2 linked regions of the Lonchura striata genome follow. The protein of the gene in region 2 interacts with the protein of the main gene of each other region in a pairwise test. Links are inferred from orthologs where the notes say so. Each region holds a gene or a part of one and is shown on either strand. Other genes may lie near its edges.

What was found.
Region 1: the proteins of SGTA (region 2) and TFRC interact in binary tests that used the Homo sapiens proteins (3 or more experiments, as listed by UniProt). The two-hybrid records come from large-scale screens. The link is inferred for Lonchura striata from reciprocal best matches to the Homo sapiens genes SGTA and TFRC.

What each region holds. Positions count from the first base shown.
Region 1 is NC_134612.1:17,678,921-17,686,936, reverse strand, and holds the start of TFRC (transferrin receptor protein 1), read right to left. Parts: upstream 3,004-8,016; 5' UTR 2,803-3,003; intron 1,070-2,802; exon of another isoform or gene 965-1,069; intron 1-964. UniProt on the Homo sapiens protein: Cellular uptake of iron occurs via receptor-mediated endocytosis of ligand-occupied transferrin receptor into specialized endosomes. Endosomal acidification leads to iron release.
Region 2 is NC_134630.1:6,150,537-6,157,810, forward strand, and holds the start of SGTA (small glutamine-rich tetratricopeptide repeat-containing protein alpha), read right to left. Parts: upstream 3,018-7,274; 5' UTR 2,952-3,017; intron 2,059-2,951; 5' UTR 1,967-2,058; coding exon 1,867-1,966; intron 1,013-1,866; coding exon 909-1,012; intron 746-908; coding exon 661-745; intron 174-660; coding exon 74-173; intron 1-73. Other genes in the region: THOP1 (thimet oligopeptidase), read left to right, coding at 3,650-3,890, 6,850-6,998. UniProt on the Homo sapiens protein: Co-chaperone that binds misfolded and hydrophobic patches-containing client proteins in the cytosol. Mediates their targeting to the endoplasmic reticulum but also regulates their sorting to the proteasome when targeting fails.

The sequences.
Region 1 (8,016 bases), on a different chromosome or scaffold from region 2:
TGTTCTCTGCAACTTTGTGAAGGCAATATCTTGAAAAATCTCTGAAAATCACTAAAAGTATCTTTCCAAAATTATTTCAGCAACTTTTAAAAGTGTAAGTTCTCTGTAAGCAGCAAACATGTCTGAAAGGTATATTGAAACTGATTTGCTTCTCCATTTCTTCCTGAAAAAGATTTGCAATTCAGTGAGCGACCAATGATCACTCGCCACAGCACCAGGCAGGTGCTGAGGTTGGGAGCAAGCAACCTGAGTATGCCCTCAGGCACTGCTGCTAATAGATGGCTCTGGTCTTCAGGTGCACGTGGATTAGCTCTACACCGGGGAGCTCTGCGAGGTTTTATTTGGAGATCAAAGGTTAGCAGTGGCCATTGTTTATTTCACCTTTTATTCAGGGCAAGAACACATGGAGGTGAAACCACGACAGATTTGAGAAGCCTTTCCCGAGCTGAGAAGCCTTTCCTGAGGCCGCAGGCTCCCGCCAGGGCACGGGCGGACCGAGCATGTGGCGGCTGCTGCAAGGACACCCGGGAAACCGCGGGGAGGCACAAAGGGCCTGCGGGCATCGCACCTGGCAGGGATGCTGGCCGGCCGCGCCATGCCTCCCCGCGCCCCTCCCGCCAGGCCGCGATCTTTCAGAAAGAGAAGCAAAAGAGAGAGAAAAGCGAGCCCGCTTCAGCAGCCGCGCCGCGGGGCTGGGTGGCTCCGGTATCGCCAGCAGGGCCCGGCTGCGGACGCAGATAAGCGGTGGGCGATAGGCGGCGGGCCGCGGGCACGTCCGCCCGAGCCGCCCTGCCGAGCCCACCAAGGTCGCGGGCACCGCCGCATGCGGGCCAGGGCCCAGCGCCGCCAGGGCCCAGCGCCGCCGCTCCCGCTCCCCGCCCTCCGCCGCCTCCCTCCGCCCGCGCCCGCTGCTGCCCGCGCCTCCCTCCCGCTCCCCGGCCTGCGCGGCCCCGCGCCCGCTCACCAGCAGCAGCTCCACCGCCGCGCCGGGCTCCGCTGCGGCGCCCGTAGCGTTAGTGCCGCTCGGAGCCGCCCGGGCCCGCCCCGCCGCTCCGAGCGCCTATCGGCAGCGGGCGGAGCTCCGCCTCCTGCCCCTGCGGCCGCTCCCGCTGCGGTGCGTGTCCCGCACGGCCCGCCCAAAGCAGCGGGCGTGTGCCTGCTCCGTGCCCCACGCGGCCTCGCTGCGCACAGGGAATGCACGGGAGCACAGAATCCAAGATCATCCAATCCAACCATCAACCCAGCATCACCTCTGCAACCACTAAACCGCGTGACCCAGCACCTTTTGAGCACTCCAGGGGTCACGACTCCATCACCTCTCTAAAAACCTATTCCCAGTACCTGTAATTGTGAAAAACAATAAGCACTCACTCCAGGGGCCACAACTCCATCACCTCTCTAGAAACCTATTCCAGTGCCTGAAACAGTGAGAAACAATTTTGTAATTCCTAATCTGAATCTCTCAGCTAAAGGCCATTTCCTCTAATCCTCTCACTACAGGCATGGTAGAAGAGACTAGTCACCTCCCACTACAGGTCCCCTCCTCACTACGACCTACTTCTTTTATAAAGAATGAAGCTACTTGCTTAAATTGCCTTTAGGTGCCCTTGGTCTGGTGAAAGAGCCACTTCCAAGTGGCATGTATTTCACTGGCTGCATACCAAATCCCAGCTTCCCCACAGGGAGGGCTGGAAGTGGGGCAGGGAGATGAAGTTAACAAATCTTTGTGGGAAGGCATGCTTGTACCACAGCAGAAGAAAGAGCGGGTCACAGCTTCAGCATTCCCGTCCTCTCAGCATTTTGAGGGATGAGGACAGGAAAAATATTTTCCTTCCTGGGTGATGCAAACAAGACTCTGGCTTGGGAAGCTCTCAGCATCCTCAGGTCCCAGCAAGTCTCACATGCTCAGGGCTGCCTTTTTAGAGCTGAATGAGCAGAGACACGCGAGGTGCCTTTCCTTTGTGTTGGGCTGCACAGATTGTTATTTTATTTGTAGAACAGGAAGCGTGGCAGGTATTATGTCTTCCAGCCCCTAAACACAAGAAGTGTGGACAGCCCACATCAGGACACAGGCTCTCTGTGGCCCACTGTGAGAGAAAGTCACTGCTTCCAGCCTCATTCTTTAGCTCAGGGCATCCCTCAAAAACATATCACAGCTACAGAACGCTTCAAGGTTCGTGTGTGTGCATGTTCTGCACTACTGTGTTCATTTGTCCCTTGCTCATTAGAAAAAGAAATCAGTAGGCCGGGATTATTGCCTCAAATCCTCTCCCAGGAAAGAAGGATGGGAGCAGAAAGTGTAGTTTGGCAGAACACATGATTGCAAAGAGGATTACGTTTGGTAAAAAGCAATACATTCCTGCGCTGATAAAAGGGGGATTAAGTAGACCTGAAATTCGGCGCGGATGTCTGGAGACAAGTCTGTAAAGTGTCTCTCAGGCAAGACGTGCTGCCAGCTCTGTTTGCCAGAGGAGGTCTGAGCCAGGCTCTCTCTTCTCTAGATTCATCCCTCACCAGTTGTCGTGATGCCAGTCATGGGAGGGAAAACTATTGTTATTTGGCATGTGACTGACCCGTGGGACGTGGTGCTGGCCGGTGCCTTGGTGGAAGCCCAAGGTGTAAGAGGGTTCAGAAAGAGTTTAGCTCAGTCCTGCAGGCTGGACGCTCTGATCGTTTCTCACCACAACAGCCTGGACGCAGCCTGCTGCTCAGGAAAGTACAACCCGGGGAAAGCAGTCACAGCTCTGCCCTGTTTTTATGTTCCTCCTGGGCTCCCCCCACCAAGCCCTCAGCTTCCTTTACCTGTGCACAGCGTGCCAGGCGCGGCAGCGCTTCCACACCGAGGTGCCGCCAAAGGAGGGACACCTGCAGGAGAGCTCGGGCTCTGGACGTTCCCGGGAGCGATGTCGCAAGGCAAGGGAGGCGGCAATCGGATTTATCCCTCCCCGTGGCCTCGGCTGGCTGTGCCTCCCTTCCGGCTATGGCAGGGGAGGTGCCAGCCCCGGCCCGCCCTGGCAGGGACTCGCTGCAGGTGTTTTCCGCTCTCAATCGCTGCACGCCGTGCTCGGCACTCAGTTCCCGTTTCTACACGTGCCTGGAAAAAGAGAAGAAAGCTGATATTCTAGAAACTCAGAGGTTTTTGCACCTCAGCTGGTTTTGGCGGTAGAATACCTGAAAATGAGGGTTCTTCAAAGGCAGTGTTGTGTACCCGTGAGCAGTGGAGCACCCTTCACCTTGAAGTGACTGGGATTTGGCTGGCTCTGGTGCTTGGTGACCTGTCTCAGGGACAGCTGCAGTTCACACAGCGGTGCCTGTACTGCTGGCAGTGCCAAGCCCAGATGCTCAGGCTGCCCAGCACAACCAAAAATCTTTGCGAGGAACAGAGAGCAAAAACTGGGAAATAGATGAAGAGGAAAGAGGATGTAGGATTGGTTACTGCTGACTTTCTGATGTGTCTTCCCAGCATCAGGGTGTTCCTCATCATTGTGGTTTGGCAAGCCAAACTATTTGGCTATTTTCAGGAGGTGTCCGTGTGTCCTCTGACTTGACTCAAATGACTCCACATGCTTTTGTACAATATCTCATGATGTGCCAGTGTCCTTCCACTGGGATGCTGAGAACATGAGATCAAAACATGGTTTCACTTCAGTTTTGCAGCAGGATTTGGTGATCCTTGTTGGTCCCTTCCAATTCAGAATATTCTGTGAAAAGATGGTTTTCCAGCAACTTATCTTGTGAGGTGACTTGAACAGTTCTATGGCAAGAAATACTGCGAATAACATGGCTCTTCAGTCTGGAAAGGATGGAAAAGCTGAGAACCTAGTGCTGGAGTGTGGTGCTAGATTGGATCTGCTGTTGGGCTGAGGTCAAGGGTTGTGGGACATGCAGTGGTCTGTGGGGTGGCAGGTGGTTATAGGACTCCCATTGGCTTTGCACTCCATGGAACAGGGGTTATATGTCACTCCAGGCACCCCAGGGTGCAGGGCCAGAGAGGCAACAGGCATCTGGGGACAAAACAAAGATTTTGATCTTCCTGAATGGCAACTGCTTCCTCTAGATCCCAGCCATTTACAGTGGCAGTGCCAGCTCCAGCCTTCCTGGGTTTGAGGGATACGCTGTCTGTGCTCTCATGTCACCTCATGGGCTGCACCTCATGGGTGCAGTCAGCTATTATAGGTCCCAGGAAGCTGAGAAATCTAGTTTTTTTTCAATGTCAGAATCATACTGCGACCCCTCTAGTACCCTAACCTTCCAGGTCAGGTCTATCAGGCAGGGCTCCCAGGAGAGCCTGTCCTCTCTCCTCCTGTCCCACCAAGCCAAGAGTGCAATAGCCAAGAATTTCACAACACCATGAGTATTCCCATCCTCCAGAGTACCACGTGTTTTGGCTTTTGCTGCGGCATTTCTCAATTGCGCTGGCAAAAAGTGGGTTAAGTAGTTGGGTATGATCCTCTCAGGGAAAGCCATCATACTGCCTTGGAGAATGTAATTCCATCCTGCTCTCCCAGCAATTCAGGCACCCACAGCCATGCTTGGGAGCTGTTGTTCCTTGGCCACTACCCTGACATGTGCTGCCATGCAGGCTGAGGAGGGGGAGGGATTGTGACAGGCGTTGGCATCTTGGAGAGGAGCTGCTGCCTCTTCTTGTCCTGTAGCAAAGAGGCTGTGGAGGAGGTGAATGAAAACGTCGTGGATAGAGCTGACAACTGGCCACTGCATTGTTGTCCCTTCAAAAGAACACTTGTCTTTGCATCCTTTCTGGGGAAGCACCTGGAGCTGGTTTGGTGCTCCCACCAGCTAGCTGAGAGGAGACAAGAGCACCAAGCACCTGGAGGAGAGGTGTGGGGCTGAGGACACTGTGGGCTCTTGCTCCTATAAAGATGTGCTCTTCCGGTATCCCATGGAACATGCCCTCAAAATCCTCTGGGATTTTGTTTTTTTTTGCCTTCCTGCAATGTGGAGGCTCATCTCCCCATCTCTCCTATCACACAAGGAGGGATGTGGATGCAGTGACGCTCCTTACTGCTGCTCTTCTTGCCAGGGGCTGGCATGGAGGCCCAGCTGAGAGGCTCGTGCTTGGACACTGCCCCAGTGGGACTAAAACAGACTGGCTCTTTTAATTGGGCTTCCTTGCTTACAAAGATGGGTTTCACTGGGATTTTAACCACCAAGGCATGGGAAACCCTACCTTACTTATAGGAAGGAGGGTGGACTGTTCTCCAGCTCCGTGCCTGCCCAGAGGGCAGGAGGGCTGAGGCGATGATCCAAGAGCTTTAGCAGCTTGGGTGTTGCTTGCCGCCTGGCAGTTAGCTCTGTTGGCAAGCTGCTGGCCCTCCGCAGGGGCAGCAGAGCGGGAGGGCAGCGGTGCCAGGGCCCCCCTCGGCGTGCAGGGCGCTGATAGCGCCGCTGGCAGCAGCCCGGCCGCAGCCAGGCCCGGCGCAGCTCTGCGGGGCCGCCGCTGACCCGCAGCTCGTCCCTGCGGGCCCGGCCCAGCCCCGCTATCGCGGCGGCTGCAGCTCGGCCCGTGCCGCGTGTCCGTGCCCCGATAGCAGCCCTGCCCCGCTTTTATCTGGGTCAGGGCGGCTGGGCCGTGGCAGGGGGGCTGCGGGGATCGGGCCCTCCAGCAAGTGTACAAACAAGCTCAGGATGTGAACACAATAGCCAAGGACCGGCCTTTGAAAAGCAGGGGGACTCAGCGTGGCCGCCCTGGGGCGCATCAAAGGTCCGGGTCACTCTGCACTGCCGTGCCTTCGATGGCTACCCATGGACTGGCCCCGGCAGGGTTTGAGTGAGGGGAAGTGGAAAGGGAAAAGAAATCAGCAGGGAGAGAACACAGGAGCTGGGATTCACAGTCATGTGAATCTCTTCCTTGAAAACATGGGCCTGTCATGAGTTCCCTTGCTCTGCTTTGTTCTGGCTCTTGCTGATCTGTATCTGGAGCGTAGGGCACAGCTCCTCTTTCTGCTTTTTCAGTGCGCCTACAGGCAGGTCACTTTTGCAAAGTGCTTCATGTGCAATTTTGTAAGCACTTCTCTTAAATCAACATTTGTCACAGCTGAGGGCTGGCTGATGGAGGTTTTTTCCCTTCCAGACTTTGTGTTAGAATCCTAGAAAACCAGATGTACATCCACAATTTGGAGTTTTGCTCAAGAAGGCCAGCAGAAAATGTACTGTTACTTAACAGGCTTGGAAACAACTCTGTGCAATGCCTTGGACAGAGCTGTGAAAGGATGTGAAGATGTGGTTGGAGTGATCTGCTTGGTATAGTGGACTTGTGCCTGCCCAGCAGAGTCCTGCAGTACCTGCTGTACCTCTCTAGCAGGATCTGGTCCTGCAAGAGTCCCTGGCTGCTCACTCCTCTGCTCCCAAAAAGCCCAGGAAAGTTTTGCCTCTGATTTGCTCTGCAGTGTGTGCACACGTTGCTGCTTTTGGATAAAAGACAGCCTGAGCCTGCTGAGTGGGAACCACCCTCTGTGATAAGGGCACATGTTGACTTAGAGATTAGAACTGTCCACTGCTTTGTTTTTTTATAATGCGCATTTATTGGTGTAAGAGCTGTGCAAAGGACAAAGGGAAAGCACGGCATAAAAAAGCCAGTACCGTGTGCAGCATTGCAGGCTCTGAGGGAGAAAAGGTGTCCCTAAGAGGGCTGGATGATGGTTCTGCTCTTGGGGAGAGGCTGCAGCCTGCAGGTGCTGGCCCCAGGCATGTGGGAGCAGCAGGCAAAGTGATGCCTCCTCTGTGGATTTGTGATTGAAGGGGTCTCATGGCCCTTCTTCTCTTTATGCCATTGTCAGGGTAATTAAATGCTCCCAGGCAGGTGCCAGAGCCTTTTGCAAACTGAGAGTTGGCTTTGTCTTGTTGACCTGCTGGAAATACCTTGTTTTAGGGTGGATTAATCTTTCATAACAATATCTGAAAGTGAAAAGGGGGCTTTAATTGGGGTGGGATTAGCACAATGGGGCTGAACAGGGAGAGCAGGAGCTTTCTCACTACTTGCTAATTGCCTCCTCTCTGCACTGGTGGCAGCTGTGACACCTGCCCCTGCCTGCTGTGTGCAGCTCTGCGCCATGGGGACCCAGGGGATGCCATGTGCCTTGTAGGCTCATTTATGCAGCAGAGAATGAGATGTGGTGTTCAAACCACGGTACCTTAATTCATCTCTTGCAGACAGGGAGGGGATTCTTCCATCACTCAGGTGCTTGACATGACTCTGGGGTGCTCATGCCATTCTCTTGTGCTGTTGTGGGGTCCCAGGGGCTGAGCTGAAACCCATGGGCTGTAGTTTGCAGCCAGCCCCCACTGCCAGGCATGGGCAGGCAACAGACATGGTCTGTATAAAGTGATAAGAACCACTGACCTGGTTCTCCTGGGACAGGAGAACCAGGTCAGTGCCTCAAGGGCAAATCCCCCGGGCGGGTGTGTGCTTGGAGAAGGCCTGTGTTTCTCCAACTCTTGGAACAAGCAGCCTGTACCTCAGCCAAATTTCTGACCTTCCTATGCCTGCTGGTCTGCCCTGCAACAGCGTCCTGTCCCTGGCAGGCACTGTCCCCCCAGATCCCCTTCAAGGGCAAATGTCTGTGGTAGGCTATGAGGAAGAAAAACTTTGCCTGTCCCCCTCTGTCTTGGCAGGCATCCTTTGGGATGCACACATGGCAGCGCTGGGCTCTTGCTCGGTGGGGCTCAGGGCACCTTTCTTTGCTGTGCATGTCCTGGTGGCTTTCATGGCAGATGTAAATTTGAGGTTTTATTTATTATGCAAAAATGGCAAAGTGGCCCAGGGTGATGTGCACCTCTCCTAGTGCTGTTCCAGCCCTCCCTTCTCTTCCTCTCGTTGGAGACTGGGGCTGAAAGGCCTTGTCCCTGTGCTTTATCCCAAGCAGGGACTTGGGGAAGAAGTGACACCCAGGAGGGAGGCTTGTCCAGGGCTGAGTATTGCTTGGCTGCCAGCAAGAACTGGTGATGCTGGGCCCCCTCCACCCTCTGCCTCGTCTTCCTGCACCCCACAGGGTACTG
Region 2 (7,274 bases):
AGAAAAATGGGAATTTGGGGCATTCCAGAGCCTGGGATCCCAGCAGGGAGCAGCTGGGGGAGCTGCTCAGTACCTGTTGCAGAAATAAACGGCGTTGGCTGGGTTTAACTCGATGGCTTTTCCATAAAAAGACACGGCAGCCTCGAAGTTTTCTGCCTTCATTTGGTCGTTTCCTGAAAGGAGGGTGGGAAAGGATGGAAAAGAACTGGGATAAACCAAAGCAAAGGCCTGGATCCATGGAAATAGCACAGGGGAGAGGTTTGTCAGCGTGGGGCAGGTCCAGCTGCGAGGCTGTGCTGGAAATTCCAGCATTCCTGATGCTGCATCCCAAAAAAAATCACCCCAGCTGCTGGCTCAGGGGGGAAGTGCTGCATCCACACTCATCCCACTTTTTCCCAGGAAAAAGCCACGCACAGAGCAGGAGGGATGGATGCTCTGCTCCACACCCCACAGGGTTTTTGGGATAAAAATCCCACTGCTCCAACATCCCTGGCAGCAAAATCTCCCCACACTTCTGCAAACCAAACGGAGCAAGAGGCAGAAATCGAAAACATTTTGTTTTTCCCCTCCATTCCAAGCATTCCTCAGGTGCCAGGGAATTGAGATCCCCTCCCAATTAGCACCAAACCCTCGTTATCCAGCAGCTCCAGGGCTTGGTACCTTCAGTCTTGAGTCTTTCAGCTTCAGCCACATCATCTTCCGAGGGAGTGACGGGCTCCGAGTTCGTTCTGGAGTGTTCCGGCTCCTTCCAAGGAGAGAGGGAGAAGCTGAGCTGAGCATTCCCACAATTCCCATTTTTCCAGCCCAAAACGTTCCCCTCCCACACGGAGCTCCTGAGGAGAGCAGCAGCCTCCAGGAAAATCCAGCAGAGCTTAAGGAAAAGGGAACGTTCCAGGGCACTCACTCACCTTCCCTACCACAGCTTCAAATATTTCGGGGAGGGTCTGGGACACAGCCAGGCTTTGGTCTTCCATGGAGACCCCAAAGGCTGTTTCCAGGCACTGGATGGCCACTGGATAAGGAGAATCAGGTCATTAATTAATAAACATTCATCCCTCTCCCTCATCTCTCAAAAAAACCAGGAAAAACCCCACCACTTTCCCCACGCCAGATGGGATTTTTGGGCTGTACCCTCAGATTTTGGTAAAACTCAGAGCTGGGCAAAGCTTCCCTCTGGATATCCTGGATGGAGCCAACCCCAGTTCCCATCCCGAGGGATTCCTGCTGGGGCTGCAGCAGCATTCCCACTGCTGGGAATGTGGGAATGGCCCAGAATTCCAGGGAGAGACCCAGACATTCCCCTGGCTCTGGGAGCCACCTCCTCCCTCCTCAGGCTCGGGAAGCTGCTCCCAGGGAAAGGAGAGCCTCCTGCCACATTCCACATCCCAAAATATCCCGCTCCCAGCACCCCACAGCCACGCTCCTTTCACCAGGACAAACCCACAAACCAAGGACTAAACCTTAAGCTCCTTAGGGAGATCCTTTTAAGATCCCTGTCCTTTGGAAGGGCCTGGAAAAACCCTGAGGGATTTTTGGGGAGCAGAAGAGGAGAAACAAGGCCAGGAGCACAAAAAGCTTCCCTGGAGCTGGGGAATTCCCACCTCCCACCCCACGGAATGCTCAGCATCTAGGATGAACCCTCTGAGTCTCCAAGCAGGGATCAGGGAGGCTTCTGTCCCCAGCTAAGCTGCTCTTGGAAGAGATCAGAAGCCACATGAACCACCAGCACCCCTGGATAAATCCCCAAAAAAGGAAAAATCAACTCCGAAATCCCAGCGAGGTTCAGCACCGGCAGCAGCCCAGCCAAGGGTAGAAAACAGGGAGACAACGGCGAAAATTCTCCCAAATTTTGGGAGATGCACCCACCTTCCAAACTCTCCTGAGCGTCTGGAGACATGCTCCCGTTCTGGAGCTGGGTGTGCAGGAACTGGATGATGGAGAAGGCCAGACGCTTCTGGTCTGCCATGCTGGGAGAGAAGGGCTGCGAGGGGCCGGGCTCCTCCTCCTCCTCCTCCTCCTGGTGTCCCAAAAAATTCCTGCAGAGGCTCCAAGGCTGGGCTGGAGCGGGGAAAGGCAAACAGGGGTTTGCTGCTGCTGTGCCTCGGAGGAGGCCAGGATGGATTTGGGGGGATGAGGGAGCTGCCCTGTCCTCTCGGTCAGGGAAGAACTCCAGAACTTTCCTGATATTCCTTAGGAATTCTCCTGGCCTGGATTCAACCCAGAGGGTTGAAACCCTGGGAGCACTGAGGAGCTCACCAGGAAAAATTCCCAATTTTCTTGCTCCTGAAAGCAGAGCCAAGAGCGGGAGGGATTTGGTAGCCCCTGGTAGCCAGGGCTGTCCTGGCGGGGAAAAGGGAAAGAAATCCCAAAATCCCAAAGCACAGAGAGCCCAAAAATTCCCGAGGCTGGGAATTCCAGTGATCCCGGGGCAGCGAAAGCGAGCCCCGGACCTTAAGTGGGTTTGTAGCACAGCCAGGATCGTTTAAGCGAGGAACGAGCTCCGTTTCACCGGAGTCCCACGGACCCGAGCGGAACCAGAAGCCCCGGGAGCAGCCCCGGGCCCGGTTGGGTTCCCGTTCCCCGACCCGGGATCTCCCGTTCCCCGGCTGGGATCCCGTTCCCCGACCCGGGATCTCCCGTTCCCCGACCCGGGATCTCCCGTTCCCCGACCCGGGAGCAGCCCCGGGCCCGGCTGGGATCCCGTTCCCCGACCCGGGAGCTCCCGTTCCCCGACAGCACGGCCCAGCACCGGAGGGTCCCGGCGGGGGCCCAGCCCCGGTGCCCCCGGTGCCCCGGTTCCCCATCCCAGTCCCGGTGCCCTCCGGTGCCGCTGCCCGCAGGCGGAGCAGGACGGCGGCTGCGGCGGGCAGCACAGCACGGCCCGGCACCGGAGGGTCCCGGCGGGAGCTCAGCCCCGGTCCCGGTGCCGGTCCCGGTTCCCCCGCGCTCACCGGACACTCGCCTGGGCCGGGCGCGCTCCCGCACTGCGCATGCGCCGCGCCCGCCGCCCCGCCCTCCCCGGTGCACCGGAATGGGCGTGGCCTGGCGCGGAAGCCCCGCCCCCAGCGGGACCATAGAGATGCCGGCGTTGCCACGGCAACGCGCGGGGGCGTTGCCATGGGAACGGGCGGGCGGGACCCGGGGATGCTCCGCGCCCGCCCCGCGCCCGCTCCCGGCCGGCCCGGAGGGTCGCGGCGGGGATGAGCCGCCCCCGCCGCCCGGCCCCGGTGCGGCGCGGGCGCGGCGGGAGCGGCCCGGTCCTCCAGGCTCCCAGCATGCCCCGCTCTCCCGCCCGCCTCTCCGGTCGGGGCACATGCTCGGTGCGTGGGGCCGGCCCGGTTTCCTCCCGGCCTCGTCAGCAGCGCGGGGCCTCCCGGTACCCCCGGCACCCCCGACATGGCCCCGCCGACAGGTACCGGCGGGATGGGGGCACCGGGGAGAGCGGTGAGGGGAGAGGGATGGGGCGGCAGCACCGGGCCGGGGCCGGTCCCCCGGGCCGGCCGGGGTCTCCTCTCCCCGCGGGTCACCTCTGTGGCCCCGTCCCCGAGCAGCCGGCGGGGCACGGAGTCGGGTTTCGGGACCGGGAGGGGCGAGGAGCGCCCGCTCGGCGATCCCGCCGCCGATTCCCGGCGGCCGGGCTCTGCCCGGAATGCTCCCCCCGAGCTGTCGCCGCCGCTGTCCCGCAGGGAATGTCGTGGACGGCCAGGCCCCGCGGCCCGTGGCCAGCCAGCTGCGCTGGGACCTGACGGCCGAGCAGATCGAGGCCATGGCCGCCGAGCTGACCGAGAGCACCAAGCTGGTGTACGACCGCGTGGGAGCCCAGGAGCGCGGGGAGGTCTCCTACGAGAACACGCTGAAGGCTCTGGCGGACGTGGAGGTGGAGTACACAGGTGGGATCAGGCTGGAGGGGACTGCTCCTGCTGGAACAGGGTGGGATTGGGCTGGGGGAGCTGTTCCTGCTGGAGGAGGGTGGGATTGGGCTGGGGGAGCTGTTCCTGCTGGAAGAGGGTGGGATTGGGCTGGGGGAGCTGTTCCTGCTGGAAGAGGGTGGGATGCACAGGTGGGATCTGTGGGATCAGGCTGGAGGGGGCTGTTCCTGCTGGAGGAGGGTGGGATTGGGCTGGGGGAGCTGTTCCTGCCGGCAAAGGGTGGGATACACAGGTGGGATCTGTGGGATTGGGCTGGGGGAGCTGTTCCTGCCGGCAAAGGGTGGGATACACAGGTGGCATTGGTGGGATCGGGCTGGGGGAGCTGTTCCTGCTGGCACAGGATGGGATGCACAGGTAGGATCTGTGGGATTAGTGGGATCGGGCTGGGGGAGCTGTTCCTGCTGGAAGAGGGTGGGATGCACAGGTGGGATCTGTGGAATCAGGCTGGAGGGAGCTGTTCCTGCTGGCACAGGATGGGATTGCTGGGATTGGGCTGGAGGAAGTTGTTCCTACTGGAAGAGGGTGGGATACACAGTAGGATCAATGGGATTAGGCTGGAGGGGGCTGTTCCTGCTGGCACAGGGTGGGATTGGTAGGATTGGGCTGGGGGATCTGTTTCTGCCAGTAGAGGGTGGGATCAGTGGGATTAGTGGGATCAGGCTGGAAGGAGCTGTCCCTGCTGGAAGAGGGTGGGATACAAAGGTGGAATACACAGGTGGGATCAGTGGGATTAGGCTGGAGGGGGCTGTTCCTGCTGGCAAAGGGTGGGATACACAGGTAGGATCTGTGGGATTAGTGGGATTGGGCTGGAGGGAGCTGTTCCTGCTGGAAGAGGGTGGGATACACAGGTGGGATCAGTGGGATCAGACTGGAGGGGGCTGTTCCTGCTGGCAAAGGGTGGGATTGGGGCTGGGATAGCTGTTCCTGCTGGCAGAAGGTGGGATACACAGGTGGCATTGGTGGGATTGGGTTGAGGGAGCTGTTCCTGCTGGAAGAGGGTGGGGTACAAAGGTGGGATCTGTGGGATTGGGCTGGAAGGAGCTGTTTCTGCTGGCACAGGATGGGATGCACAGGTAGGATCTGTGGGATTGGTGGGATTGGGTTGAGGGAGCTGTTCCTGCTGGCACAGGGTGGGATGCACAGGTGGGATCTGTGGGATTAGTGGGATTGGGCTGGGGGAGCTGTTCCTGCTGGAAGAGGGTGGGGTACAAAGGTGAGATCTGTGGGATTGGGCTGGAAGGAGCTGTTCCTGCTGGCACAGGATGGGATGCACAGGTGGGATACACCTTCCTCTTCCCGGGAAGGCGGGAGGTTCTCGGCTTGCCCAGAGCGGCTGTGCCTGCCCCATCCCTGGGAAGGTCCAAGGCCAGCTTGGGATAGTGGGAGATGTCCCTGCCCATAGCAGGGCTGAGCTTTGAGAGACTTTCCAACCCATTCTACGATTATTAGGATTTTTGGATTTTTTTTTTTTAGCTCTGTGCTGTCACCTGCTTTTCTCTCCCCGTGGCTGCCAGCAGAATGTTGGTTTTATTCCCAGTTAATGTTTACACAACCAGGAGCCAGCACAAAGAGCAGATTTGGAAAAGCAAATTAACCCAAGGCCAGCAGGAGCAGCCATGTCCCCAAAGCTGTCCCAGCTTTCCCGTGTCACCAGTGGGAGCAGAGAAAAGATCCCAAAAACTCTCACTTCCTTCCTCAATTTTCCCTGGGACAGTGGACAAATGTCTCTCCATGTGCCTTGTTTGCTGCTGGAATTTTTTGGGAGAGTCAATCCTGCTGGGATTTTTTGGGAGACTCAGTCCTGCTGGGATATTTTGGGAGAATCAGTCCCATTAGGATTTTTTGGGAGGATAAATCCTGCAGGGACTTTTTGGGAAAATCAATCCTGCTAGGATTTTTTGGGAGATTCAATCCCGCTGTGATTTTTTTGGGAGAATCAATCCTGCTGGGATTTTTTTTGGAAAATCAATCCTGCTGGCATTTTTTTGGGAGGATAATCCTGCTGGCATTTTTTGGGAGATTCAATCCTGCTGTGATTTTTTTTGGGAGAATCAATCCCGCTGGCATTTTTTTAGGGGTGGGGAGTACCACGACGTGATGGCACCAAAACTGTGCTCTTCTGGTGGCTTTCTGGATGATTATTTGCAGCAGGGTGACAATTCTGTGGCCCCTCCTCGTGACACCTGGGCTGCTCCCTGTGCTCGAGCTGCCCCACCTGTCTGGGGCCGGGAGCAGCCTCGTCCTCCTCCTCTCCCAGTTCTTTTTTCCCTAAAATAATTGGGGAAAAAGCATAATTCCTTTTGCTCAGCAGGAGGAATGTGCACCTCAGCACGGCTGTCAGCACTTCCCTGCCTGAGCTGCCTGTTCAGCTTCTGCTGGGGGCAGAATCCAGGTGCCTGGAGAGCACCTGGAGTGCTGCTCTTGGAGCTTTTTGCAGGGATAACAGCAGGGAATGTTCTCCTTGCCTTCCCACGTGGAATTGCGTCAGGACAGGGCGCACCTGGGGCATGGTGGCTTTTTTGGGAAGTGTCTGCGGGAAGGGATTGTCCCACTTTGAGCTTTAAAGGAGGCAGGGAATGCTGCTGCCATCAGGAATCGTGGAATTCCTCCAGCTGCAAAGGAGCATCGAGTCCAACTCCTGGCCCTGCACAGGCCTCCCCAAACCTCCCGTGCTGCCACAGCTGGGGCAGAGCTGTTGGGGGCTCACAGGCACAGAATTCCCGTGGATTTTGGGAGGATTGTGGCGGGAATCCAGCAGGGTGGATGTGCTGGGCAGCAGGGAAGGCACCAAAGGGAGCAGGAGCCACATCCCACCTCCCTCCCCTGCAGCGTGGTGGAAAAGGCTCTGGGGCTGCCAGCCTGGCTCCGGGCGTGTGCTGGGACGTGGAGCCACCATCCCTGTCCCCTTTTCTCCTGCCAGTCCGTAGGAACATGCTGGATTTCCCCCAGCACGTGTCCCCCTGCAAGGCCACCCGCGCCGCCAGCACCGAGGCCGACAAGAAGCTCTCGGAGTTCGACGTGGAGATGAGCATGAGGCAGGACGTGTACCAGAGGATTGTGTGGCTCCAGGTACGTCCTCTGCCACCTGCAACCCCCTGGAATTCCAGCAGATCCTTCTGCCTCATCCCAGAGCTGAGAAGGGAACGATGCAGGAGTGGGGTGTGGGCACGGCAGAGGGAGGGGTGGGAAATTTGGGATTGAGGGCTCTGCCTCCACTCAGAGCCTTGATCCCCTCTTTGCTGAGGGGCTTTTGGGAAATCCAACCCATCTCAGTGGTGATCCCCCTCCAAAATGCTGATGGGGCACAAAGGTGACGTGTTTAAAGCAGCCTGGTGTCGGAATCTG